7 linked regions of the Nothobranchius furzeri genome follow. Each later gene encodes a partner of the first gene's protein in a complex. Links are inferred from orthologs where the notes say so. Each region holds a gene or a part of one and is shown in the gene's direction. Other genes may lie near its edges. The genes, in order: snrpg, gemin2, gpkow, txnl4a, sf3b2, lsm6 and prpf31.

Region 1 (4,279 bases):
GAGTTTTATTCCATTTACTCCATGTGTATCCATCCATGACGTCAGTTCAGTTGAGGTGTGGTATAATGCCAGGCTAATTGGCAGCATGGTTTAGTAGTGTGGTACTTGCAACAGCAGTACCTTGGTTTGACCACCAGAGGTCCCTGGAGATCATATAATTTGTCAGTGCCTCTGAGGCTGGAAGTCACAATATTTACTCTGTGTTACCCTTGAATGTGCATCATTTGGGAATATATTTGTTTTTGCTTAGTCTTAAACGTTGGCATATTTACTTCACCATTTGTACAATCCTTTTACATCATTCTTTGTATTTATTTTCCAGACCACACGGAACCACAGAAATGTACAGATGTCCATACTTCAACTGTCATTAAATACGTAAAACTGTCTCTCCGTGCCCTGCTCTCTGACCGGAGCCCTTATCTTGAAGATACTGTCAGATCAGCAAATAACTTCCAGAGTTCCCACTCTATCACATTGTTACTGGTCAGAATAAAGGTAGTGATGTCATTGTTACTGGTCAGAATAAAGGTAGTGATGTCATTGTTACTGGTCAGAATAAAGGTAGTGATGTCATTGTTACTGGTCGGAATAAAGGTAGTGATGTCATTGTTGGCGTCAGGCACTATTCCGGAAGGGCAAACAGGTTTTTGACCGCTGTGGCATGAAGACGTTTGAATGGGAAAGTAATCGGATTACTCCTATCATTGTTACATCCTGGAATGCAATCAACATTAAACAAGAAGCATTATCATAACAACTCCACGCTTAAGGCTGTTCAAGTAATTTAGTCAACATCGGATCAACACAGAGCGTCAACCAGGTCCCGGTCTAGCAGCCTCAGGAGTTCGAGTAATGGACTTGACTTCTACAGTTGCCTTCTTGAAATCACAATCTGGTTTTATTGTGTTCTTAGATATTGGTTGTGGGCTTCCATGAGTTTTCATAGTCAAACTTGGTTTCACTGAATTTTATTTGTTGTTTTTTACTTTGTCAAAAATAGCTCTTCTTCCTGTTATCTGTTGAATCTGCTTAATTTTAACTATACTTTTTAACTTGATGAGAATTTACAGAAATGAAAGAATAACTTTAAAGATTAGGTTAAATTGTGTAAATTATACAAACTGCACAACAGATTTCCATCCTGGAAAAGAAGAGAACGAAGTTGAGCTGACACTGCTGGGAGCTAGGGACTCCGGTCTGACAGGTAAAAATCAGGCAGCACAATGCATCTCTGTCGTTCAACAGCAAAATAAATGGTCAACTGAATACAAACAATAAGGTAGAAGGAACATAAAATATGCACTTATTAACATCGTTTTACATTTCAAATACATTTCAGTATAATATGTAATACTTACGTTTACTTTTGCTTTTTTGTAAGATTGACAATAAAATTGTAAAAGTTGTTTGAAACAAAGTGTTCTTGCAGATATTTGCAGATCCAACCCTAACACGTTCTCCTCCCCGCCTCGAGGGGGCGTAGTGGGACTGTAAACGCTAACTGCTTCACTTCCGGTCACATTTTCCTTCCGCGGTTTTGTTCAACGTAACCCCGACGAGCTAGCTCACCGGACTTCGGTACAAAAAACGATACAGAATGAGCAAAGCACACCCGCCAGAGCTGAAGAAGTAAGTTCACGTGTTTAAAAATAACAATTAGAAATTATTAATTTTGTTTCCACGATTTTAACGGAAAGAACGTGTTAGCCTGTTAGCTTTGCTCCATTCTTTACCATGAGGCTAACATTAGCAACCCTGCCTGAACTGTGAACCACCGTCGCCTGAAATGTTGTTTTATGTTTCAGATTCATGGATAAAAAGCTTTCATGTGAGTATGGCGTTTTACGAATATGTCTTTAAAGCCCCTATTGTGATTATGAAGAGTTTATAGTTTTAAGGTGCTAAAACATTAAAACCACGTGACGGAATAATAATCGATTGCATTTGTGTTGCGCTTTACATCACGACAATCTCAACGCGTTTAGAGGAAAGGAAAATGTTGATTATGAAAGATGAAAAGCTTTACTATAAAAGATCTACTAGAGAGAAACGTTTTCAGTCCTTCTTAAAAGCCGCTTGTAGGTTGGGGTGTGCTTAAACTCTCAGGGTAGGGTTAAAGGTTAGAGGGTGGAGGGCATTGTCCTCCGTGGTGCTCAGCCTGGTCTGGGTCTATGAAGCAAGTCTGACAAAAACCAGCAGATTTAAAATCCATCTAAGTCAAATCAAAAGGCTGAGAAGGGTTGGGAACACCAGAGCAGAAGGTGCAGCACGAGGAGCAACGACTGACAGGAAGATGAATAAAGAGACCAGAGATGGGGCACATCTGAGCTCGCGGGGAAGCTGATTTCATCTGTGTGCAGCATCACCCTGCTTGGTTCTGACCCGGTGCAGCTCAGGTCTGAATCAGTTATGAGTCTTTGTCCTTTAGCTCTAAACTGTAATTCTATCTGTGTGTGTTGTAGTTAGTGTTTTATCATGTCCTGGTGACTGTAAAGCACATAGGATTGCCTCTGTGTTTGAAACGTGCTCGAGACATAAAGCTGCCTTGTCTTCGTTCCTCTGGAGCCGAGCTGAGCAGTAACGTCCATCCTAACCTTCTGATTCCCAAAGACGATAACTTCAGTCTCGTCTTTGTTAAACTGGAGGAAGTTAGACTGCATCCGGTCGTTTGCTTGCCTCAAACACTGACAGAGTGAGTCTAGGGATAGGCAATTGTGAGTATACACATGCGCAATAATAAATATATTTCTTTGATAACTTTTAAGAGATCATTCTGTTGGTGTAAAATCATTTTTTAGGCATGTCAGCTAATGTTTGGTTAGATTTTAAATGTTTGTATTTACTTTTGTTTATTTAGCTGCATAATTGGGGTAAATAGCTTGGTTTGCAGGGGTTCTGTGAAGATTGTGCAGGGTTTTTCCTGCATTCAAATTAGAGCTGAGGAAAATAATCGATGCATCGGGATGCGGACATAAATCGTAGAAGAGTACGCCGTAATCGATTATAGTGGAATGTAGTTTTGTTTTTTTAACGGCGGCACCAGCATCTGTCAGAGTGAGCGTCCTCCACATTTACCACGTGGTTCCGCCTTGATGTGGTACTGCATTGCTGAGCGCTAGAGTTGTAACCTGAGCCGGAACCAAATCAGCCCGACCGGTTCTGTTGGATTTGGGCCGTGAATTATGTTAATTGAGCGGGTTGTCATGTGGCGCGCTCCGCTCGATCAGAGAGAGAGACTGTCTACTCACACGAGAGGATCGCAGGACGCTCCTCTAAACCGATGCTCCAAACACGCGTTATTGTTTTCATAATTTCTCCTGGAAGCGCTCAGTCAGACTTAGGGATGGGTACCTTTGACATTTGAATCGATCCGGTACTAATTCCCGGTACCTAGGAATCGATACCGGTACTTAACGGTATCAATTTTAGATACTTTTGAGTGTTTATTATTTTAATTCTCTTTTATAATTAAATATATATTTTTCTCAATATATAACCATATTTGATAAATATCACGATAAAAAACATACAACTGTTTGTATTTTAACATGGTCCTTGTAGTTTTATAAGCTGATAATTAAACTGAAGCAAACGTCTTTACTGTGAACTAAATTTACTGTGTATCTTCATTCCTTTTGCCGTCTTTTTCATTTGATTTTTCCTACTGGGAAGTTAGAATTTCCGAGGAGAAAGCGAACGCACCATTAGCTGATAACAATAGTAGCAATGGAAGCTAACATACCAAGCTAACGTTATCTTTAACAGTTTATTTAGCTGCTGGAGCAGATTAAAACGATGATGCCTCACACTTAGATCGTTGTCGCTGGTTTCATCTTCACCCAATCACCCGTCGCATTTAGTAAAGTGAAGCCAAACTTTAGAGCGCGTTCATGTTATTCCAGTCGGAAATTCGAAGTTCCGAGGAGAAAGCGAACGCACCATTAGCTGATAACAACGGTGGCAATGGAAGCTAACATACCAAGCTAACGTTATCTTAAACAGTTTATTTAGCTGCTGGAGCAGATTAAAACGATGATGCCTCACACTTAGATCGTTGTCGCTGGTTTCATCTTCACCCAATCACCCGTCGCATTTAGTAAAGTGAAGCCAAACTTTAGAGCGCGTTCATGTTATTCCAGTCGGAAATTCGAAGTTCCGAGGAGAAAGCGAACACACCATTAGCGAAACGGAAGCTAACATATCGAGCTAACGTTATCTTAAACATGTTATTTACCTACCGGAGCAGATTAAGATGAGGATGTCTCACTTAGATCGT
Region 2 (4,079 bases), on another chromosome or scaffold:
TCTGTACTGGAGCATTTAAAACAACCCCAATAGCAGCGTTACAGGTAGAGACGGGTGAGATGCCAATAGCAATCAGACGAGAACGAATAGCTTTAAATTATTGGGCAAATCTTCAGGGTCAGGAAGAAGATCATCCAACACGAGACATACCAAAACCTTGCTGGGAGAAAGAAAAGAAGGAAACAACAAGTTTTGGATGGGTGATGATCAAAAAACCAGTAGAACTTAAATGAGATCGGTTTACAATCAGTCAAAGAGTTCCATTACCTGCTGTTCCGCCATGGATTCTTCCTGAGGCGTCTGTTGATTTATCATTATTAGAGAGAAAGAATATGGATAAGTCTTTCATACTAAACTCACATACAGCACAGGATTATATCGATCACTATTATAACTATGTAAAAATTTATACAGATTCTCGCAATCCTGTTAGCAGTTCGATGGGTGGAAGAAAACAGACCATTATTCTCAGTTATTTGTTCAGACTCCAGCTCATCATTAACCAGTTTAACGTGCAGCCATTCAGGAAGCAGACCAGACATACTCCTAGAGATTCAGCAAACACTTTATAGAATAAACACGATGGGACTTAAAGTACATTTTTTATGGATTCCAGCTCGTTGTGGAATCAGTGGAAATGAAGGAGTCGATAAGATGGCTAAGGAAGCTACAATAAATACTTCGGTTCAGTTAGATGTTCGATTTTGTCAGAAAGAGATGAAGAGCATAAAAAGGCGAGAAATGAAGAAAAAATGGCAAAAACAATGGGAGGAGGAAAGGAGGGGAAGATGGTTGTATAAAATTCAAAGAAGAGTAGGAGAAATAAGAAACACTGGAAGGAGTAGGAGAGAGGCGGTGATCATTTCTAGACTGAGGTTTGGACATACTGGGTTAAACAATACGTTATTCATGATGGGGAAACATAATACAGGGAAATGCGATTATTGTGGAGAAGAAGAAACTATAGTTCATGTTATATTACAATGTCGGAAGTATCAGGCAGGAAGAAGGACATTGATTCAAAATCTTAGACAGATCAAAGTGAAACTAGACCGACAGAATTCAAAAAGCGACTGTTTTCTGATTTTATTTCAGTTTTTAAAAGAGATAAGGATGTTTGGGAGAATTTGATGTATATATGTATTTGTATATATATGTGTATGTATGTGTGTGTATATATATGTATTTTTTTGTTCTTTCTTTCCCGTGTTTGATTTTGTTTTATGAGCGCTGTTCCAGACCACACTCCACACCAGTTGGTGGCGGTAATGCACCATTCGTTGTTCGCCAACCGCCAATAAAACACCAGAAGAAGAAGAAGATGGCGACTGTGCTGTAGTGAAACTTGCGTGTTTTTCATTACCTGATTCGGTTCCGCTGTTCTTTTACTTTATTAGAACATGAAGTCGGACGTGGAGGAGTTAATGCCGAGGCTCCTGCCGCTGGAGACCGGAGGCGGGAGCGGAAACCTGGACTTGAGTGGAACCCCCAGAAACCCCCAGGAGTACCTCCGACAGGTCCAGTATGTTCGAGCCGAACCGTCTCGAGAATCAGAACCATGTTCGACCACGGAGCTTTATAAGTTTGGTGTTTCATTAGGTTGGAGGCCTCTTTATGCCCGGAGGTGGTCGTTGCTCAGATCGATCCCACAAAACTGAAGAAGCAAACTGTTAATGTGTCGGTAAGTGACACACACACACACACACACACACACACACACACACACACACACACACACACACACACACACACCACATGTTTAACATGTTTTGGTTCCAGGTAGCAGGATGTCATGCTGCTCCTCAGGGCTTCTCCCCCAGCCTCAGGTGGCAACAGCAGCAAGTCAGTAACTTCTCTGACGTCAGACAGGTGAGACTTCACAGTAACACACGTTACGAACATGTCCACACAGTAACACACGTTACGAACATGTCCACACAGTAACACACGTTACGAACATGTCCACACTGGACAGTGTCCTTTAGTCACTTTTGTTTCTCAGAGCATCACCAAGAACAGGCAACACTGGAGGAGCCAAATTCTGGATGACAACGTGCAGATGGTGAGATTTTTATTCACTACTCAAACCGAAATCAGCATTCTTTCAAGGGGAGACAGAAATCCCATGTTAAGGTGGATTTGAAGCACCTGTAAGAATCTTGTCATGCAGCATCACACTGGAGGTTTGGTTTATGCAAGCTTGACGCTGGTGTCTTACAGCCGAGGCTGACCGATGAGGAGGGCTGGAAGAGGTTTTGTTTAGGGGAGAACGTTTATCAGGGAACTTCATCCGGCCCGACGGATGCACACCAAGAACCAGCATTGGACTACGGCAAGGTTATACAACTGTTTACACCTTATTGCCTTTGTGAGCGCTTACTCCTCAGAATGAGTTTACCTGATTTAAATCGATCAAAGCTGAGATGTTTCCACATTCTACTTCTCCCACAAAAGCAAACAATCTAAACAGATAAAGTGTATTTATTTAATCCTTTGATGATCCGCCACTCATGAAAATTCTGTGGCACCTTCATGAGACCAAGGAAGTGAAGTCTCACTGATGGTTTGTTTGGGTCTAGATTGGCTTCCCTCCCTTCCTGAGCATCGTAAGCAGACTAAACCAGGTAAACGGGGGTCTACGATGACATCCATGTTGTTTTTAGCCAGTTTAACAGTCTTAATATTTTTGTCTCAGTCCACAGTTCTCATGTTGTTAGATGTTCTGATCAGCTGGTTTGAAGAGCGAGAGTTTGTTCCACAGCTGGTGAGTTTGCTTCTCGTCTCCAGCTGGTTGACAACAAATCTAATGCTAGTGGAAATATAGTTTTTTAAATTTTCGCACGAAAATAAATTGTTAGAACTCCAGGGCCCTCATTCATCAAACAAACTTATGCACAGATCTGCACGTAGGAACAGTTTTACACACTGCATACATGTAGCGACATGAATGGCCATATTTGTGACCCAAAGGTCACACTTCCCCAGCTAGGTCACGCTGTCCTGGCTGAACTTCTGTCCACAGATTATCCATCACAGGAGACGCACAGTCTTCTAGAACCATCTTTAATCTGACTGCCTTTAATCTGTCTGCTGTTCCATCCTAAGATGAAGGACACTTCAAGATTTAAAATAATCATTTTTAATAAACTCTTTTCACTGTTTATTACAAGGTTCATAAATAATCATCACGGTTCATTATAAATGTATTTAATTACTGAAATGAATTATTATTCTTTGGTTAATAATTATTATTTATGATAATCAGTAATGTTTACCAGTGTAAAGAAGGTCATGTACACTTATACACACCATGCAGGACACTGAATTCAGGGTAAAGGTAACCACCTCACATGTCTTTGCTCCATAACCAAAGCTTTCTATCTCTGAGAGGGCGTGTTCTGAGTTTTAATAAAACCCAAAACTCCTCAGTTCAAGCTGACAGTTCTGAACCAACCAAAACCTCTCCGTGGCACGAGAGTCCCAGAGGACAAGGGTCGGCCGCCCGAAGCCTCCACTAAGCTGTTCTGTCACGCTGATAGAATCGCTCCGAATAAACGCCACCTGCACCAGCTGACACAAAACTCCTTCAGAGTTAAGACGCAAACTCAACACCTGTGTGCCAGCGGCAACTCTTGGACCAGAGAGTCGGTACCACTCGCGCCTTCCCTACCGGACCGAGTACCCAGAGGCTGACAACATCCTTCCTTGACCTCCGGATCCACACAGAGGGTCGCCTGATGGGTGAGGTAGAACACAGATTGCGTCTGATGCTGTCATCTCTAAGAAACAACTTAGTTAGCTGCAAAACAAACTCTTTCACCCAGAACGCGTTTCTCTCTGAAAGAAACCTTCTGAGATTCCAGTCACACATCCAACACACGCATTTCATTTTAGCTTTCATCCAGACACAGGTTTGCTTTTAATACCAAGTTTTAATATCAAAGCTGTTATAAATTGTCATCTTTAAATTGTTCGTTATAAATTCTTAACTTTTTAAACCTGACTCTTCTTTGAAATGAAACACAGAATGGTGTAAATTTGGTTATTGAACGAGCAAAGATTCCTTTAAATATTCCGAT
Region 3 (4,175 bases), about 2.5 Mb from region 1:
GCCCAAACGAGCTGGGACACACCCAAAACAAACACTCTCACACATACAGAGGGCTGCAGGGCACTTGTGCACGCTCCTGTATGCACATGCATGCACACACACCTGGCTGTGAACCACAGAGTATTTGAATCAGTCTATTATTCATGGCAAAGGGGGTGCAGGTGCACTGAGCACGAGCTTCTGTTTAGTTTTCATTAAGGCAATTTGTGAGGAAGGCGATTGAAACCGATAAAGAAAATAGAAAAGCTATCAAGAAACTCTCAAAACACACACACACACACACACACACACACACACACACACACACACACACACACGAAGCAGATTCTCAGATTTCTCATATTTAGACTGAATACTGACCTGCCTTGCCGCTGACACACACACATTCTCTTCAAGCAGTTCAGCCTTTCAAAGAGGATCCGTTTGAACGCGTCTATATACATTGACCCTGCCGAGGTTAAAAAAGGAGCAGCACTTTAATAAATAACGCGACCTGTTTGGTTTGGAGCAACAGCAGGAGCTGGAGGAGGAGCGAGGAAGAGTCTGGAGTCTGGAGGAGATGAGATGAAAGGCGATCAGCCGGAGCCAGCGGAGAAAGTCAGAGCCGATGCGCACGGCTGACGGGATGTTTGGACACTAGTGATGCTCTGGGAGCTGAGGAGAGCGAGAGAGCGGGGAGAGCAGGAGAGAGAGAGAGAGAGAGGAAAATAAAACACACACACACACACACACACACTATCGGGCAGATTTGACGGCGGTCGCAGATAATTTCAGCAGCTGCTACATTGCTGCGAGCAAAAAGGAGAAAGGAGGAAAAAACAAGAAGGCGTGGATGGTTGTGACCCAAACGGGAGGTTTTAACTTGTGCAAAGAGAACAGTGCGTTTCTTACCCCCATGTTCACTCTCTGCGCCTCATCGTTTATCCATCATGCATACAGAAAAAGCCCGAATTACCCCCCAAAAAATCATACAAATGTCGGGTTCAGCAAATAAAGGTGTCGCTGAACTTCAGAGGTTGCGCAAAAGCAGGTGCGGAAATAGTAATAAGGTTGCGCTCATGCTGCTGACATGCAAATGCGGAGAAAAAAACAGCAACATTAGGCTACATGGCTAATGAAAAGGTTAACCTCACAAGTTCAGGCGCTCAGGAGGCACTGGGAGGAGGAGTTAAAAGCCCCGCCCACATTCTGCCTAAAACACACCTGCATCAGCAGCACCAGAGTCCGCTTCACTATCTGCGATTTAAAGGAGTCAGACCCACGCATTAATCCAACTCATTCAGCTCTTGTTTCTTTTTATTACAGGAGACTAAAAAGCTCCAGATAAACTATAGGGGTTTACAAGATGACCGCTTCAACGGAGCGATGTTTCAGCTTTTCAAAAATAGACCTGCAAGTCTAGACATGTTCACAATGAAAGTGTTAAACATCAGTACCTTTCTATTTTAAATCAAGTGTCAGTGTAATTACCGTCTGTTTAACTACTTTAAATGATTTGATATATTATTTAGTTACTAATAACCAACGGATTTCACAAATAAATCAGTAAATCTCGGATTGCCTGCGACCTTTAAAGAACTCTTATTATGAGGCATGATGGGATCTGTAGTCAATTGCAGCCTAGAGTGGTTATCGGGCTCGTTAACGCAACCCCATCTCCCAGAATGCACTGCGCCCTCATCGTTCTTCTTCCACAAACAATCATGGCGTCGCACGGAGACGGTTCAGGTGCCGCCGAGAACCAAGGAGATAAAAAGGCAGCGGCGGTATCGTTTGGTTTCACAAAAACTGTCAGCAAATTTAAACCCGCAGCCGGCGGCATTCCAGCCAAGACCGACGAGAAGGATTACCTGACTGGAATCGACCGAAATGAGTTACAGAGGTAGGCTAACCGCTAGCTAGAGGCTAAAGCTGTCAGTGGTTTGTAAACGGAGTGGTGACGTTTGAACTCTAAATCTGACTGACCACACTTTTACGTGGTGTGTGTAATGTATCTACCCGGGACACTTTAAAGATTTAACTTTTGTCTTCCGTGGCAGTTCAAAGCCAACCGAGAAGCCCAAAGAGCTCATCATCCCATTGATCCAGAAGAACCGCTGGCACAAACCGGACCGAGCGGACCCGAGTGGAGGCTCAGCGCGCGGCTCGGTCCAAGACAAAGACTCGGTGGAGTCTCAAGCTGTCAAAGAACTCATTGAAGGTTTGTGGTTGAAAAAGATGCAGAAGTTGGACAATGAATGGTTGCGTGTCAAAATGTGTACCCCCTCGCAAACGGAGCCCATCCTGGAAGTGTCTTCCTGCTAGACTGTAAAACAATTAAGAGCACGAGCTCCATGGCCGGTTTGTGTGTGTATTAGACAGTTTTTACTTTCCTACCCAACACTAAGAAAACCATCTTTATCAGTGACGTTGTGTGTTTCTGCTTGTAGATTCACGGAGGCAGCTGGAGCAATGGCAGAATGCAGCAGAGTCGAACAGAAGCCTGGACCTCTCCATCCCTCTGTTGATGCAGAACAAAGTCCCTGAGGGTTTTGAGGATGGAGACCATGTAAAGGTGGACCTGCGGCCTGAATCTGTAAGTGGGGACAGAACGGGCTGTAAGAGACTTAGGAGTATGCAAAGTTTACCAGACGAATGAGAAAAGATAGAAAAATTAATTATTCACAATTTTGTTGTTAGAGCAGCTTAAGTCAAGCCATCTGTTATAGTCAGTAATGCAACAAACCAGAACCTTTAGATTTATAAAACAAATGGAATAAACCTTTAAAAGGTTTAGTAAAGTACAGCAAAATTATTCTTTATCTTAATGATTAATTTAAAGCACGTGTACATGCTACTGCAGCAATCTGACACCCGGATCTACCAATATCCATCAAAAGTAGAGATGTAAGAAAATATCGATATGGCAATATATCGTGATATTTTTCCCAGCAACATTATATCGATATTCAAAAGCCGTGTATCGGAAATATCGATGTGGCAATATATCGTGATATTTTTTCCTGCGATTATTACATCGATATTCAAAAGCCGTGTATCTAATTCCTGAAAGAATTTACATGCAAACATTTGTGTATTTTCGTTTTGCGCAATTCAATCAGCACCCGCTAGTTGGCAGCAGTGTGCAGCGGGTTTTGTTTCCACCACTGAAATGTAAATCCCTCCATCATGGTTCAGATACCTCATGTTAAACATGTTACGTATCAGTTTGGACTGTTTATTGAACATTCTTACAATAAATTCAGTTAAAAAATTGCTTGTAACGTCTGACTGAATGTATCGCAATATATCGTGAAATATCGTATCGTCTCCCCTGTATCGTGATATGTATCGTATCACAAGAATTTCAAAAATACACATTCCTAATCAAAAGGCATGCTTACATCATCTTCGTCAGCTTGTTAAAGGATTGTACCACCTCACAGACGTTTGGTTGTGATGTTAGCAGCAAACCATGAAAAGTAAAGTTCGACCGATAATGGTTTTTCTGTTGCCGATACCGACGTGTAAAGGTTACGGACAGCTGATGGACGATTAGTGTTGCCAATGTTCTGTGCCGATTTTCATGTCTAGATGTTTTCCGCCCTATTTTCATGCTAATATGTCACAGGTAACACCAGTAAATGCACAAAATTTCAGAAGCTGAATCGGTTTTTGAACACTAAATTTAACTGTTAAATTTTAATCTTGTGCACTGCTCAGTGTTAAAACCAGACGTCTCACTAAAGTTAATCAAACAAATCAGGATACTGACCGAGTATTAAATGCTCAAAACTGGTAAACAAACTCTTATTTTTGGTGGAAATAATTTTTAGAGCATTAATTAAAGCAGATGCTATTCAGGAACATAAAAATACAATTAAATCCTGCAGCAGTGCCGGGCTGCCTGGGGATGTGCCTGACTTAAAACCGGCTAGGTTGTGTAATTGACAGTGAAAACTGTAAAAACCACGTTAAATCCAGAAAAAGCTGACAGGTTGAAGAAATCAGCAGTGACAATTTCATCAGTAACAAACGAATCTTTAAACTTCACTTCCTGACGGACGTGAAGGAAGGCCGTCGGTCTGAGCTCGTTATCTGTCTGAGGATGCTACGGGAAGGTTGTGATAGAATCTTCTGGACAGGTGCCTCAGTGAGGGCACGAAAACACCTGACAGTACAAAACGTCTGCTACT
Region 4 (3,028 bases), on another chromosome or scaffold:
ATTAGTCATGAAATGAAAAAAATATAACTTTTAGACATATCTAATGATCATTTAGACTCTCTCTCTCTAGGGAGTGCCACAATGTGCTGCTATGTCGTCAGACTGGAACGTTTTTTCTTTAACCTTTATACTATCTTTTTCTTCTTTGATTGTACTGCAGTAAATTGCACAATAAGTGTTTTTTCTTCGTGTTTTTCCACTATTAGAATTGTACACCCACACTTTAAATAAAATAACGTCTCTAAATCTAAGTAAGACTGAAAGATTGATGATTTATTTGTTTATTCGTAATGGTATTTTCAAGTTTTAAAAGTGCTTCAGCATTTAAATAAGTCCTTGAAAACAACTGAAACTGACTTTATGGTGCAGACGTTTCCTTTAATGAGACAGCAAAGTGACGTGATTGTTGTGAACAAGTATAAACGGTCTCTGTGCAACACCGGTGTAACGTGCTGGAAAATATTTAAAAACTCCATCTTAAAGTGCTTGAAAAGGGTTTACATTTTATTATTTACAAAGTGTGTTAGGAAGCCTGCAAAAAATCAAGTACGACACGTAGTATTTGACATTGCATGATGAGTTAGGGTTGGGTTTTTACAAATTTTTCTTTGGAATCTCTTTTTGTGGAAGAATTTGAGTTTGAACGCAGAGTAAAACTCCAAACTAATCATTTTTCAAGCTGTATCCATTTTACAGCAAGTGTGCCAAATATACACATTGTTCTAAATTTGTGAACTTGTTAAGAATCAGAAATACTTCACAGCATCAAATATTAACAGTTTTTTTTGTAAAGTACACAAACAACACGTGCACGTTTTAATTGAAGTGTGGCAAACAAGCTTTACAAATAAAGAGTGCTCCGAGATTTCCTAAAAAATGTATTCATGTTGCAAATTTCTAATTATGTTATCTAGACTGTAAACATAATTTCTGTTTGTTATTGAGCTGTTTGAAAATCTGTTTGTTCTCCATGCATGAATACGAAATACATTTAATACTAGAAGTATTTCTCTAGTTGATCATCCAAAAAGATGATCATCCAAAAAGATATTGCTGGAAAACATAACGTAAATATATTTATTTTAAAAGTACTTGCTGGAGTGAAAAGTAATTATTTCAAATAATTAATTATTTAAAATTTTTATTTTTTGTGTGCGGCTTTCACATTAAAAAATAATAAATAAATAAATTGGGACTTTTTAAAAGAGTTTTTCGAATTGAGCGACTATGACGTAAATTTAACGCGTCTCCTGCGTCGCTGATTTGATGACGTCGTGAAGCGTTTGTTTTCCGTGGGGTTTAAAAGAAGTCACATTGAACATAGCTGCTTTATCTATAGTTAGTCCGTTTTCTTCCCGCCACTTAAATACTCTATTTTATATTTTGGGGTAAGTGTTTCAGAATATTTAGTGGGAAGTTTCATAATTGTGTCTTTCAGATTGTATCCATGGTTAACGCTAACTAGCTAGCTAGCTGTTGCCGGTCAAACCGTTCTCTGGTACTCAGAGATGTTTGTTTAATTTAATGTTCAGCTGTGATCGATTTGAACTCTTTATTTGATCCATTTCAGGTTAGAATTTGCTCATTTTTGAGTCAAGATGTCGTACATGTTACCGCATCTCCACAATGGATGGCAGGTCGACCAAGCCATCCTGTCTGAGGAGGACCGAGTCCTCGTCATCCGCTTCGGACACGACTGGGACCCAACATGTATGAAGATGGACGAGGTTCTTTACAGCATCGCTGAAAAGGTTTGATTTGTTTCCTGTCTTTATTATATAAAGTCCGGTTGGCTCAGATTCAGGAGTCGCGTCACATTACCTGCTGGCGTGCTCCAAATGCCATGTTTAATTCATTCTTGGTTTGTTTATTTACAGGTGAAGAACTTTGCTGTCATTTACCTCGTGGACATCACAGAAGTGCCTGATTTCAATAAGATGTACGAGTTGTACGACCCCTGCACTGTCATGTTCTTTTTCAGGTAGCTCTTCCAGTTCCACATGTTGCAATAGACAGGGCAGCTGAGTAAACATATTTTAAGGTGATATTTTTGTCTTTCTCTTCCAGGAACAAACACATCATGATTGATTTGGGCACCGGTAACAATAACAAGATCAACTGGATAATCGAGGACAAACAGGAGATGATAGATATTGTTGAAACTGTGTATCGAGGAGCAAGGAAAGGAAGAGGTTTGGTGGTGTCTCCCAAGGATTACTCTACAAAATACAGATACTGATTTTTTTTCATCCTCCTTTGTTCAGTTTATTATTTTTTCATTTGACAAAATGAAGAGACAAAAAACACAAAAGGTTCAGGAATATTCTTCAGCGTGTTTACCTTTGGTAGTAAAACAGGACATTGTTGATAATGGTGGGTTTAATGTCACTTTTTGTTTTTGCAAACGTAGCTTCATAAATATTAAGTTTTGTGTTTTTTAAGGCTTATTTCTGTGAAATATGTCAGTGTGGAACACATCGGTAATATTGTACAACTTGTAACTGTTTTAATAAAAAACTTTTACTTAAGATTTAAATGTAGTGTTTTAATTTATTTTATATATATATATATATATATATATATATATATATATATTCTGAACCTGCTTGTCCATGTAGGGTCGCGGGGGGCTGGTGCCTATCTCCAGCTGTCACTGGGCAACCAGGCGGGGTTCACCCTGGACAGAGCCAGTCTATCTAGTACTTCTAAGGCCTATAAAATAAACATGTTTATCATGAGTACAAGCTGTTCCACCACATCATTAAGTATAAGACTGATAGATTTATGAGTGTAAAACTTAAAATCCTGCTTTTCTGTTGTTAATACTCTTAATTCTAGAAGGCTTTTAATGACTGGCTAAAAAATATGGCTATAAGTTTATAAATATAATGAATATATGATCTTATTTAATTATGGTTATGCAAAATAAGATAGTAGACAGGCTTTTTAAAATGTTAAGTATTTTAAATAAAACGAATCTGTGCATAATGTTGGAAATCATACCATTTTAATGACATACCTGGAATCT
Region 5 (4,229 bases), on another chromosome or scaffold:
ATTGCCACATTAAACAAGAGAGCGCCAAACACCCAGTCACTATTTCTAGATTCAAACGTCTTTTGTTTACCATGATTTCCAATGGTGGAGCATTAAATGAGCATTATGCATGGATAAAAGCACTATAAATCTGACCATGTGTTATGTAGCACCTACGCTGTGGGCGAAGAGATTTTGGGGTGACATCATATATGCAACATCTGATTTGTAGTCTGTTTTAATTACAAATTTTTACAAGCTAATACATCTCAAAATATTTGAAAGACACAGAAACACACATAAATACTTTTCATTTGAATTGAAGTACAAAAATGTGCATTTCAGGGCGTAAGGCAAAGCAGATTAGAAAATAGATTTTATAGCCTTGTTCACTTGTATTCGTTTTTTTCTATGCTCCGGGGACCTATGAGCTGACCGAAAGGGGAGGAGAGGCAGTTTGCTCACCAGCACTTGGGCACCAGGTTCGTGTCTTCTTGACAAAGTATTGCTCAAGTGCATGCACAATACGACAATTAAAACTCCACATCTAATGCGCACAGCTGAGATTTAAGCCAGCAACCTTCTTGGTGCAAGATGACCATTAAGAAAAAAAGCTGTACTTTGATTACATTTTACTTTTAAATTTTGTAATTCGTGAACCAAATTTCAAAAATGAAACTAAAAAGTTTCGCTTTTGTTAATAAATTCTCTTGTGCCAACACTGACATCCCGTGGCCACATGAACCAACTTCCAGCACACGTTTTTTAGTTGGGCATGGGTTTTAAATGACGTACACCCATCTGGGGAATTCTTACGACAGAGATGTGGTTTCGAAACAAATAAGTGTGTATGGTGTGATGATAAAGAAACCTCTGTTCATTTATTATTTTACTGCATTTTCTCTGAAGCTCTCTGGAATGATATCCATGACTGGCTATACACAAAGATACCTATTGAACCCTTTTCTGAGAACGATGTCATTTACGGTGCCATATTAGATAACACTGAATGGGACTTTCTGGTAAATAACATAATCGTTGTAGCTAAATTTTACATTCACAAATGTAGATATGGAAATGTGAAGCCAGATTCTATGCATTTCATAACGAGTGTCTTTCTTTCTCCAAAGCCCTTAAGTTTATGAAAAGTAAACATGCAATGAAACTCCTTAATCTTTTTGAAAAGTATGATTTGAAAACAAAGCCCTAGCTCTTTGTCTCTTTTTTATTTATTTATTTTTTTCTGTTTGTTCGTTTCGTTCACAAATATTCTTGCGTTCTATGCAAAGTCTCTTTTGTTATTTTTTGCACCTGATCCCGGGTAATGTAAAACAAAGGAATTTATGCCATGTTAATTGTAAATGAAAAAGTTCAATTTAAAAGAATTTTTTTTTTAACGTTGTGGCACGTTTCCCACAATGCATTGGTCCAATCTTCTTCTCACTCTCGCGTTGTTTCCGCTGCCGCCGTTGTTCCATTGAGAGAAGCTCAACATGGCATCCGACGGAGTAACGGGTAGCGATTCTCTTTCGCCTGATTTAGGAGGTGCAATCGCAGCTTTAAACACATGGAGCAATCCGGAGCTTCAAGCCAAGCTGGCTGACCTGGGCGCACCAAATATGGGTAAGAAATACTTGGAGGGCACTCATCGAACAATGAATTTAGCTACCAGGTATTAGCCTTCCGTTAACTTTAGCTAGCAGTTTGGTAACGCATTATTAAAGTAGGCCAACTACAGACTCTACGTGTGTTTACATTCACTAGAGCACAACATAGTGAATCTACCTGCGTGATTTGTGACGTTTAAAGCAACAGCTAAACGTTTGATTGGTTTGGGTCTTCTATTTAAACGTATTTATCTTACGTTTAGCTTATTTTGCTAACTTTGAGCGTAAGTCTTTGCATTTACGCAGTGTAGCGTTCTGTTTGTATCTTATTGAATCAGTAAAACTTCGAATTTGTCTTGCGCTCCTGGAATCACTTCCTTGTTGTCTAACAGTTATTTTCTCTCATCCAGGTCCCAGAGAGGAGCTGATTGACAGACTGAAGGGCTACATGATGCAGGTAAACGCTTTAGAAATGTGATTCTGGTTTTTCCACTTCCTCATCACGATTTGTTTCCTAAAGAAACTTGTTTTAGTACTAATTTATCTACTGGATCTGCCCGTTTGTTTTTGTCCTACAGACAGGAATTATCCTCAGCAAACCAAATGAAGACAACCCAATGGGCGTCCAGGTAAGGACTGATCAGATTGTTGTGACGTCACTGTTTAATGTACTGATACACTTTTCTGTTGGTCTTAGAGTTTTTTTTCATAAATGTCTTCTTGTGTTATCACAATATTTCTGGCAACCATCAAAAAACGCAGTAAATAAAACCAAGAGTCGCCATGGTGATCACTGCACTGTATAGATTTTAACAACACAGGTGGATGAGAGACTAGATTTAATTGTTTAACCACATTATCACAAAACAAACAAATGAAACTTGTGAAAACTGAGGTTCAGTTAAGCTCATGGCTCAGTGGGTGTTTGCCTTTAATTTACTTCCTTCTTCCTCCAGATGCCAGGGTTACCTTCTCTTCCCCCATTACCCATGCCTCCAATGCCCCCTGGCATCGGAATGCTCCAGCCTATGGGCATGATGCCCGCTGGAGGTCCTCCTCCTCCTGGTTTACCCTTAGGAATGGAGCACGGACCCCTGCTGCCTCCAGCGCTGACGCAGGACGACCAGCTGAAGATGGCTCAGCACAGGGCGGCCATGGTTCTCCAACAGGAGGAACGAGCCAAACAGGTGAAGCCCTCAGACCATCATGTTCCGTTGTTGGTTTAGAACACTACACGCTAAGAATATTATGCATTTGGGAGATTGTGGGACGCTGAAACAACAAAATATAAATCAGAAATAGTTTTTTAATTGGGTTAGTTGAGGCAAAATCCTGTTGTGAATTGTGGATTTTTGCTCATTCTGGTTACAACAAGAGGTGAACAGGACCTTCTAGAGCAGCAGAAAAGGCAAAGATGTTCCGTTTAATATTTAGGGGAGCTGAAGGCCCCGTTTGCTCTAACAGAATGAACCTTTCACTTTGCAAAGTGATGATTTTAAGAGCCTTTTCCCCACCTAGTGGCCAAGTTAGATATACATCTGCTTCTTGTCTAATTGCAGGTAATCGGCTGAATAGAAGCCAACAATCCAGAGCAGAGCTTTAACTAAACTCAGGGGTTTATCTTTAATCTGCACTTCCTACATGTTCACCTTGTATTTATGTCTCCCCGTCTGCGTGTGCCAGGCTGCTGTGCTGCTGGAACAGGAGCGTCAGCAGGAGATGGCCAAGCTGCAGCCCAGGTCTTTGCCCATTGGTCAGTCTAATGTGTTATTTCAAATAAAAACACATAACTTCATGTAAGTCCAGTTTCTACAGCAATGACCACTTTTTCAAAACTCTTTTTCAGTTTCTATCTTGGATCCTCGTGGGCCGCTTCCTCCTGGTGTCACGTTGTTGCCCTCCCAGAAACAGAGGGTGCCCCCCCCTCCAGGAGAAGACAAAGAGGTAAACAGACTGAAACGGAGTTTCTCCTGTTGCACATGGAAGTCCTACGCTCTTAAACACGAGATTTTATCGTCATGCTGCTTTTAGGGATGGGTACCGAATTCGGTACTTTTTAAGGTACCGACCAAATTCCATAGTACCGACCGAGCACCGATTCACTTAATTTGAAACGGTGTCTCGTTTCGGTACCCGTCCTTCACAACGAGAACTTGCCTAGACAGCTGCGCATGCGCAAGAGCGTTAAGTCATCGGTCGCTGCGAGCCAGTTGTAAACAGAGCAGCATGGTAGAACGAACGAACGCTTAAGCTTGGGTCCACTTCACTAAATGCGACGGGTGACTGGGTGAAGATGAAACCAGCGACAACGATCTAAGTGTGAGGCATCATCGTTTTAATCTGCTCCAGCAGTTAAATAAACTGTTTAAGATAACGTTAGCTTGATATGTTAGCTTCCATTGCCACCGTTGTTATCAGCTAATGGTGCGTTCGCTTTCTCCTCAGAAATTCTAACTTCCCAGTAGGAAAAATCAATTGAAAAAGGACGGTAAAAGGAATGAAGATACACAGTAAATTTAGTTCACAGTAAAGATGTTTGCTTCAGTTTAATCATCAGCTTATAAAACTACAAGGACGACGTTAAAATACAAACAGTTGTATGTTATTTATCGTGATATTTATCAAATATGGTTATATATTGAG
Region 6 (4,025 bases), on another chromosome or scaffold:
GTGTGTGTGTGTGTCTATAATATTTTTTACAAACCCGAAGTTGGTTACTCGTTAGAATAATTAAAAGAATTATTTGTTTTCATACACTTTATTCATAGACTTCTTCACAACTACAAAAAAGTTTTCCATTGGTTCAATAGTTTTTGTGATGTTAACAAATGTTTGTTATAATAAGAAAATATTTCACCAGGCACATGTTTATGTTTATGTTTATGTATTTAGCAGACGCTTTTGTCCAAAGCGACTTACAAGTGATGTGTTTATAAGAATGAAAAGATGTCTTTTTTAAGTGCACATCATAGACTGTACATACTGTGCACATTTTCCCATTTCCCCAAGATTCACTGATTTCCCTCTTTCCTGTTCACTCTCTCTCTCTCTCTCTCTCTCTCTCTCTCTCTCTCTCTCTCTCTCTCTCTCTCTCTCTCTCTCTCTCTCTCTCTCTCTCTCTGTCTCCCCCTCTCCCTCCCTCTCTCTCTCTCTCTCTCTCTCTCTGTCTCCCCCTCTCCCTCTCCCTCTCTCTCTCTCTGTCTCCCTCTCTCTCTCTCTCTCTCTCTCTCTTTCTTTCTCTCTCTCTCTTTGCCTTTTTAATCACAATTGTCTATTTTTGCTTATTTTGAACATATTTTAAATCATTTTTTGAAACCTTTTTTATATTTTATATTTTTGTGAAGTGCCTTGAGATTTTTGTCTTGAGAGGAGCTACAGAAAAGATTGTTTTCTTTCTTTCTTTCTTTCTTTCTTTCTTTCTTTCTTTCTTTCTTTCTTTCTTTCTTTCTTTCTTTCTTTTAAACGTTTGAACACTTACAGATCAAGAAGAAAGAAAATGTACCTGAAATTGGAATAGGCTTATTTGTGCATATCCCACATTACATTGAGATAAATTTTGAATTTGTAAAAAGAATAGTAAAATAATACAATGAGACATTCACATGAAATATTATGTTTTTACATATTTACAGTAGTTTCTCATTTTCTGTATGAATTTGTTACATAATAGAAATATTACTAATGCTTCAGTTTATTCAAAGTATAACAATGCACAACAAAACAAAAAAACTTTAGTATATTATAATATGAAAGCCAGTGGATATAATATTAATTACAACATATTAGAAATACATTTATAGAAAATAACTTGTTAAAGGAAATGGGTATATCGTATTTTTAAAATGTACTTTTAAATATTCTTGTTTTGTCTATCGAATTAAAACTTTGCGCTTTCAGGACATTTGTCCCTACATAGTTTCCGTAGTCCTCCAATGTGATTGGTCAATGCGCCGAACATAAAATCGTTGTGAGATCGTTCATCCAGTGAGTAACTTGCTAGCTCGGTGTTCGCATCTGTAAAACTAGTAAAACATCTATTTCCTATCTTATTAGGATCTGTTATGATGTAACAATACCTGTACATTGTACTTTATTGTTAAACAATCTCCTACGCTATTAGAGGCTAACGAACTGACCCACGGAATAGCTGGTAGTTAGCACTTAGCTCGCTAGCTACATAGAAGCTCATTTGATAATTTGAACGTTTTAACCGTACATAGTTTTGCATTTAGGCGTGTACTATCTGGCTACAGCTATTCGTTTTAATATTCTCGGGTTTGAATAATGCCTTTGTTACTAGATAATCAATTATAGCTTAAATGTGTATTAGGGTAATGCTAATGCGGTTCTTTATTGTGATAAAATGAGATTTACTCATCTGTTTTATTCTTTTAGATAAAAGCGAAAATGAGTTTGAGAAAGCAGACCCCGAGTGACTTTCTGAAGCAGATAATTGGGAGACCTGTCGTGGTCAAACTGAACTCTGGTGTTGATTACAGAGGTAATGCAGCTGGCATCAGGTGTGGGAATGTTTAGGGTTCTCAGAGTTTGATTAGGTTATGAATCAGAGGGTTTGTTAAGCAGTCATTGATGCATCTTTTTACGCCTTCTGCCTCATGTTTAGTTCTAGACAATGACCCCCTGACAACTACTTTTAATTTTTAATGATCTTTTAATTCATTACAGTTAAGTTCTTTATACAGGCAGACAGGAAGTTGAATGATGTAATCCCATATAGGATTAGAAACTATGAAACAAACACTAACTGAAAAACAGTTAAATTACTGCAGTTAAACTCCAGTTAAATGCTGAGTAATTGGAATAAACTTGAAAAGTTTCGTGAGGACCAAATTTTGCTTTAATCTTCAACAAACTATTTGTGTTTGTGTTGATATTAATTCATTTACCAAGCTAAAGAGAGATTCACACAGGTTACACAGATACATGGAGGAGGAACACTTTTTGACACAACACTCCTACTCAGACATCTTTGTTACAGTTTAAAATGTTCAGTTTTTCAGTATTTGATGTATTTATTTCTTCAGTCAAGACTCAAACTCCATCCCAGTTGCACACCATAATGTGCCACACTTCTGCACTTCAGATGTCTGCCTTTTACACTCACCTAAATAATGATCATTATTAAAATCTGTTTTGATAATTTTTGAATGAATTTGTAATGGTTTATGTTTGCATCAAAATGCATAAAAAACAGTATGCCCCTCTTCCCTAGCTGGCACGTTCAGGTCTGTTGTTGTTTTATTGCCCAGGTAAGTTTATTTTTAATCTGAAGTTTGTGTTTGTCTCTGAGCAGGTGTTTTGGCCTGTCTGGATGGTTACATGAACATCGCAATAGAGCAGACGGAGGAGTATGTCAATGGACAACTCAAAAACAAGTATGGAGATGCCTTTTTGAGAGGAAATAATGGTAAGATTTGATGTTTTCACGCTGCAGGGCGTTATACAACACCGTTTTCCTCTGTTACTATAGCTCCAAGTCATATTTAATGATTAAACATTCCAGGTTATGAAGGCTGTACATTTGCCATGATCTGAGTCTTTGGTGCAGTCAACTTCCTAGCCTCATTCTTATTAGCTCACAGAGACAACATTATTACACTGTGTGCTCTAATAGATCTTTCAGTTGTTTAGGTTTTTTTTTTCAATCCAAAGTGATTAGAGATTTAAATTTGTTGACAATTTTTAAATGAAACTTTCAAAGTCATGCACCACAAGATGTTTATTTTCATTTTCTCATTAAGCATTTTTGCACCTCAAACCTATCTTTATAGGAAAACCACAAGATATTCCCTTTTAAAGTTGGGAAACTAACCATGTCGGAGTTATACAGGAAGCTCACTTCCGATGAAAACATCGAGCCCCTTTGTTGCTGCTTTGAAAAAACTGGTAAAATGCTACTATTTTACAGCATCGTTTGTTAATTAATTCATTATGTTACATTAGAAATGTACTGATTTAGCTTCTGATGGCAGAAACTGATTTGTGTTGCCTCAAAGTGATACTAATTTTGGGTGATTTTTAAATATAATATGCTGTTTGAATTTAAATATTAAATAGAATATTTTGGAAGTGTAAACTTCTACATTAATAGGGTTAATAAGTAGGGTTAGGGAATATTTTGATACCTGTGTGATTTTTGTGGTGCCTCTCTAGACTGAGCAGATACAGCTGCGACTGACTACTAGGGATGCACCGATGGATCGGCATTTGATCCCAACTGGCCGATAGCGCCCCTATCGGTTTTGATCGGAGTTTTCAAAATGGATCAAAGCAGACCGATCAGGTAGGGTTGTCACGGTAACCGGTGTAGCAGTAAACCCCGGTAAAATAAAAAAAAGTTGACAATAATAATAACCGTCCGTTTTTAAAAAAACTATATTATCTCGGTGGTTTACCGTGGCTGCGGTGTAGGCGCGGTGACCCTTACCAGCCACCGTATCATCTGTTGAAGTTGCCAGCGGCACATGCGCACTTTGTTGTTTACAACCAAAACTTTCTTGAAGCTAAAGCTGAAATAATGGCCAAAGGAGGAAACGGCAGCGCGCAGGACATTTATTATACCTCAAAGAAAACAAAGTGGGAAGTACGGGCATTTTTTGAATATTTGAAGAATGCCGAGGGACAGTTTATAGAAGACGGCTATCCTGTTTGCAGCACGTGCAGAAAAAGTGTCT
Region 7 (2,473 bases), on another chromosome or scaffold:
AGAGGAAAAGGCGGAGAGGAAATGGAGGACACTAAGTGGTTAAAAGAAAAACTACGAGGCGCGCCTCGACCAGAGCGGAGAAACAAGCGGCTGGTCTGAACTGAGGAGCAGTGAGCTGCGGCCGAATTTCGTGAGCGCTTCGGCGGCCGGTTTGTCCCCAGCCTAAAACTGTCAGTGTTGTGCCGTTGTCAGGTAAAAACTCTGCACTGCATTTGAATTTAAATCTGCCATCGCTATTGGCTAAGAGGTACCCTAGAACGTTAGCTGGTACCATAGTGTCGTTGTGAGCCTGTGTGTGTGTGTTTCCTAGCGGCTCCGCCCTCTCGCTCTGCTAGGAAACAGCATTTGTTGCATTTTTCAAACAGGAAGTGGGAGTTGAGTAATACTCTGGTAGGGGGTGACTTGCTCTTTAACTACTCAACTTTATTCTTTCAAAAGTGACTTTGATCTGGGGTTCTTTAAGCATCCTAAATGTTTTTATACTTGTATCTCTTAAATGAGTCGTTCTCTCATTGTTTCTTTAACTCTGCTGTGGTCTCAAGTGTGAATTAATGCTTGTGGTAATAAAAAGTTCTGGCGCTCCCGTTTCGTGAGGTAGAAGTTTGTTGGGAGGAAAGGAGGCAGAAAATAGCGGGAATTCTATCTTGCTCATTAATATTAATGATGTTCAAACATCTCGCCTTTTGATTGGCTAACAGCAACATGACGTTTCTACTGAAACTTCAACGTTGATGTTTTATCTCCACAAATAACACAAGCCTGGAGGAGTTCTGCTGTGTGGTGAAGTTGTTAATGCTAACAGTTAGCGTCCCCTAGCTGAGACGTTCTCTGCTGTTTCCTTGACGCTAAACCAACAACAGCCCTCCCCGTTGCGAGTTAAGATGACTCCATGAATGTTGAGCAACGGTGTGACGTTGATCTGTCAGGAATTTTCTAATCTGAGCATTTCCCCGTTAGCATTAGTGACCTCACAACATGGCAGAACACGATCAGACTTATTTGTGGGAGTAAGACATCATCGTTAACGAGGAAGACTTTGAATCTCGTCATTTTCCATCCCTCACTCCTCGGGCTAACTTCTTCCTGAAACGGTAGCGCCAAGAGCTGAAAACGACTCGCAAAGCATTCGTCTCTAGAGAGCACAACATATGTATTAAAACCAGTTTATGCTAACTTTAGTTAGCTGGCTATTTACAGAGAATTTTAGTTCCCTCAAACAGCAACTTGTGCGGTCTCTTCTGGGAGGTTGAACATCATGGACAACAGCCCCGAGTCATTCTGCCCCCCCTCACCTCCGACCCCTTTAGGACTTTAAAGCTTATTTGACCGTAAGGATTTGAGCTCGTTGATGTTGCAGATTGAAGATGACGCCTATCAGGAGGATCTGGGCTTCAGTCTGGGTCAGCTGGGCAAGAGCGGCAGCGGCAGAGTCCGGCAGGCTCAAGTCAACGAGGCCACCAAGGCTAGGATCTCCAAGTCGCTGCAGGTAAACTCGGTCGTTATTTTAATCTCCACCTCCAGATTATTGATAGTCCATGATCTGAACCTTGTTCTCTGTTGTCAACCACAACAGAGGACGTTACAGAAGCAGAGCATGACCTATGGCGGAAAATCCACAGTGAGAGACCGTTCCTCGGGAACCAGCTCCAGCGTCGCTTTCACTCCGCTCCAGGTATGAACCGGATGATCAGTGGAAGAGTTCTCTACTTTCTGCTTTTCATTCATTCATTCATTCATTCATCTGCAGGGCCTGGAGATTGTGAACCCGCAGGCTGCAGAGAAGAAGGTGGCTGAAGCCAACCAGAAATATTTCTCCAACATGGCGGAGTTCCTCAAAGTCAAAAAGGATGCTAAGATGTGAACGTGTTCAGTGATGACATCATCATGTACATTAAATTAGCCCCTATTGTGCTTCGCTTTTATTTTATTTTTTTACCATTTTCTTCATGTGAATAAACCACAGAAACCCCAAAGCGTGTGCCACCTTTAGAACCTTACGCCTGAACTTTGACCTGTTAGGTTTAACCACCTTGTAAGCAGAGCGAATCCCCCTGGGAGCAGCGAGACCTTACACCACCACACACCCATGTGTAATTTCTTAAAAGTATTTATTGAAATTTTACAACTGTTTCATAATCCCATTTTATAACATCTCCCATGCAGAACTGTGATGAGAAAACGGTTGAAATTCACATTTTTGCGACTTCTTAGCTGACCTTCCTCTCTGAAAACCTTAAAAGCCCCAAAAATATAATGTATTAAAGGCAGATCTCAGAACTTTGCATCTTCTTTTTCCCCCCTTCAACACCTCCTCCTTAAAATAAAATCAAAAATTGATCCGAAACATGAGTTTAACATCATCCAGATCTGCAGTTCTTTTTTCCTCTATTACACTTAAAAATGGAAAAGTTGGATTTTTGTTTAACACTCCGCCCGTTCGGACCACCGAGGAAAGTCTGGAAACACGACCCCA

Evidence for each region.
Region 2: snrpg (region 1) and gemin2 share a complex: the UniProt entries of both Homo sapiens proteins name them as parts of the SMN-Sm complex. The link is inferred for Nothobranchius furzeri from reciprocal best matches to the Homo sapiens genes SNRPG and GEMIN2.
Region 3: snrpg (region 1) and gpkow share a complex: the UniProt entries of both Homo sapiens proteins name them as parts of the minor spliceosome. The link is inferred for Nothobranchius furzeri from reciprocal best matches to the Homo sapiens genes SNRPG and GPKOW.
Region 4: snrpg (region 1) and txnl4a share a complex: the UniProt entries of both Homo sapiens proteins name them as parts of the U4/U6-U5 tri-snRNP complex. The link is inferred for Nothobranchius furzeri from reciprocal best matches to the Homo sapiens genes SNRPG and TXNL4A.
Region 5: snrpg (region 1) and sf3b2 share a complex: the UniProt entries of both Homo sapiens proteins name them as parts of the minor spliceosome. The link is inferred for Nothobranchius furzeri from reciprocal best matches to the Homo sapiens genes SNRPG and SF3B2.
Region 6: snrpg (region 1) and lsm6 share a complex: the UniProt entries of both Homo sapiens proteins name them as parts of the U4/U6-U5 tri-snRNP complex. The link is inferred for Nothobranchius furzeri from reciprocal best matches to the Homo sapiens genes SNRPG and LSM6.
Region 7: snrpg (region 1) and prpf31 share a complex: the UniProt entries of both Homo sapiens proteins name them as parts of the U4/U6-U5 tri-snRNP complex. The link is inferred for Nothobranchius furzeri from reciprocal best matches to the Homo sapiens genes SNRPG and PRPF31.

Annotation. Positions count from the first base shown.
Region 1 is NC_091755.1:44,511,917-44,516,195, forward strand, and holds the start of snrpg (small nuclear ribonucleoprotein G), read left to right. Parts: upstream 1-1,479; 5' UTR 1,480-1,600; coding exon 1,601-1,632; intron 1,633-1,808; coding exon 1,809-1,831; intron 1,832-4,279. UniProt on the Homo sapiens protein: Plays a role in pre-mRNA splicing as a core component of the spliceosomal U1, U2, U4 and U5 small nuclear ribonucleoproteins (snRNPs), the building blocks of the spliceosome.
Region 2 is NC_091758.1:40,480,325-40,484,403, reverse strand, and holds the start of gemin2 (gem-associated protein 2), read left to right. Parts: upstream 1-1,279; 5' UTR 1,280-1,400; coding exon 1,401-1,522; intron 1,523-1,599; coding exon 1,600-1,681; intron 1,682-1,779; coding exon 1,780-1,869; intron 1,870-1,975; coding exon 1,976-2,062; intron 2,063-2,220; coding exon 2,221-2,337; intron 2,338-2,579; coding exon 2,580-2,624; intron 2,625-2,695; coding exon 2,696-2,764; intron 2,765-4,079. UniProt on the Homo sapiens protein: The SMN complex catalyzes the assembly of small nuclear ribonucleoproteins (snRNPs), the building blocks of the spliceosome, and thereby plays an important role in the splicing of cellular pre-mRNAs.
Region 3 is NC_091755.1:41,971,939-41,976,113, reverse strand, and holds the start of gpkow (G-patch domain and KOW motifs-containing protein), read left to right. Parts: upstream 1-1,375; 5' UTR 1,376-1,586; coding exon 1,587-1,882; intron 1,883-2,039; coding exon 2,040-2,200; intron 2,201-2,429; coding exon 2,430-2,575; intron 2,576-4,175. Other genes in the region: membrane-associated guanylate kinase, WW and PDZ domain-containing protein 3, read right to left, coding at 361-443. UniProt on the Homo sapiens protein: RNA-binding protein involved in pre-mRNA splicing. As a component of the minor spliceosome, involved in the splicing of U12-type introns in pre-mRNAs.
Region 4 is NC_091751.1:22,094,955-22,097,982, forward strand, and holds txnl4a (thioredoxin-like protein 4A), read left to right. Parts: upstream 1-1,243; 5' UTR 1,244-1,388; intron 1,389-1,570; 5' UTR 1,571-1,598; coding exon 1,599-1,751; intron 1,752-1,877; coding exon 1,878-1,981; intron 1,982-2,067; coding exon 2,068-2,239; 3' UTR 2,240-2,528; downstream 2,529-3,028. UniProt on the Homo sapiens protein: Plays a role in pre-mRNA splicing as component of the U5 snRNP and U4/U6-U5 tri-snRNP complexes that are involved in spliceosome assembly, and as component of the precatalytic spliceosome (spliceosome B complex).
Region 5 is NC_091742.1:75,394,453-75,398,681, reverse strand, and holds the start of sf3b2 (splicing factor 3B subunit 2), read left to right. Parts: upstream 1-1,429; 5' UTR 1,430-1,472; coding exon 1,473-1,602; intron 1,603-1,996; coding exon 1,997-2,043; intron 2,044-2,164; coding exon 2,165-2,215; intron 2,216-2,542; coding exon 2,543-2,773; intron 2,774-3,269; coding exon 3,270-3,339; intron 3,340-3,432; coding exon 3,433-3,530; intron 3,531-4,229. UniProt on the Homo sapiens protein: Component of the 17S U2 SnRNP complex of the spliceosome, a large ribonucleoprotein complex that removes introns from transcribed pre-mRNAs.
Region 6 is NC_091744.1:10,586,904-10,590,928, reverse strand, and holds the start of lsm6 (U6 snRNA-associated Sm-like protein LSm6), read left to right. Parts: upstream 1-1,225; 5' UTR 1,226-1,314; exon of another isoform or gene 1,315-1,355; intron 1,356-1,375; exon of another isoform or gene 1,376-1,480; intron 1,481-1,725; 5' UTR 1,726-1,737; coding exon 1,738-1,831; intron 1,832-2,644; coding exon 2,645-2,758; intron 2,759-3,122; exon of another isoform or gene 3,123-3,237; intron 3,238-4,025. UniProt on the Homo sapiens protein: Plays a role in pre-mRNA splicing as component of the U4/U6-U5 tri-snRNP complex that is involved in spliceosome assembly, and as component of the precatalytic spliceosome (spliceosome B complex).
Region 7 is NC_091745.1:76,602,936-76,605,408, reverse strand, and holds the end of prpf31 (U4/U6 small nuclear ribonucleoprotein Prp31), read left to right. Parts: intron 1-1,357; coding exon 1,358-1,486; intron 1,487-1,573; coding exon 1,574-1,672; intron 1,673-1,747; coding exon 1,748-1,861; 3' UTR 1,862-1,973; downstream 1,974-2,473. UniProt on the Homo sapiens protein: Involved in pre-mRNA splicing as component of the spliceosome. Required for the assembly of the U4/U5/U6 tri-snRNP complex, one of the building blocks of the spliceosome.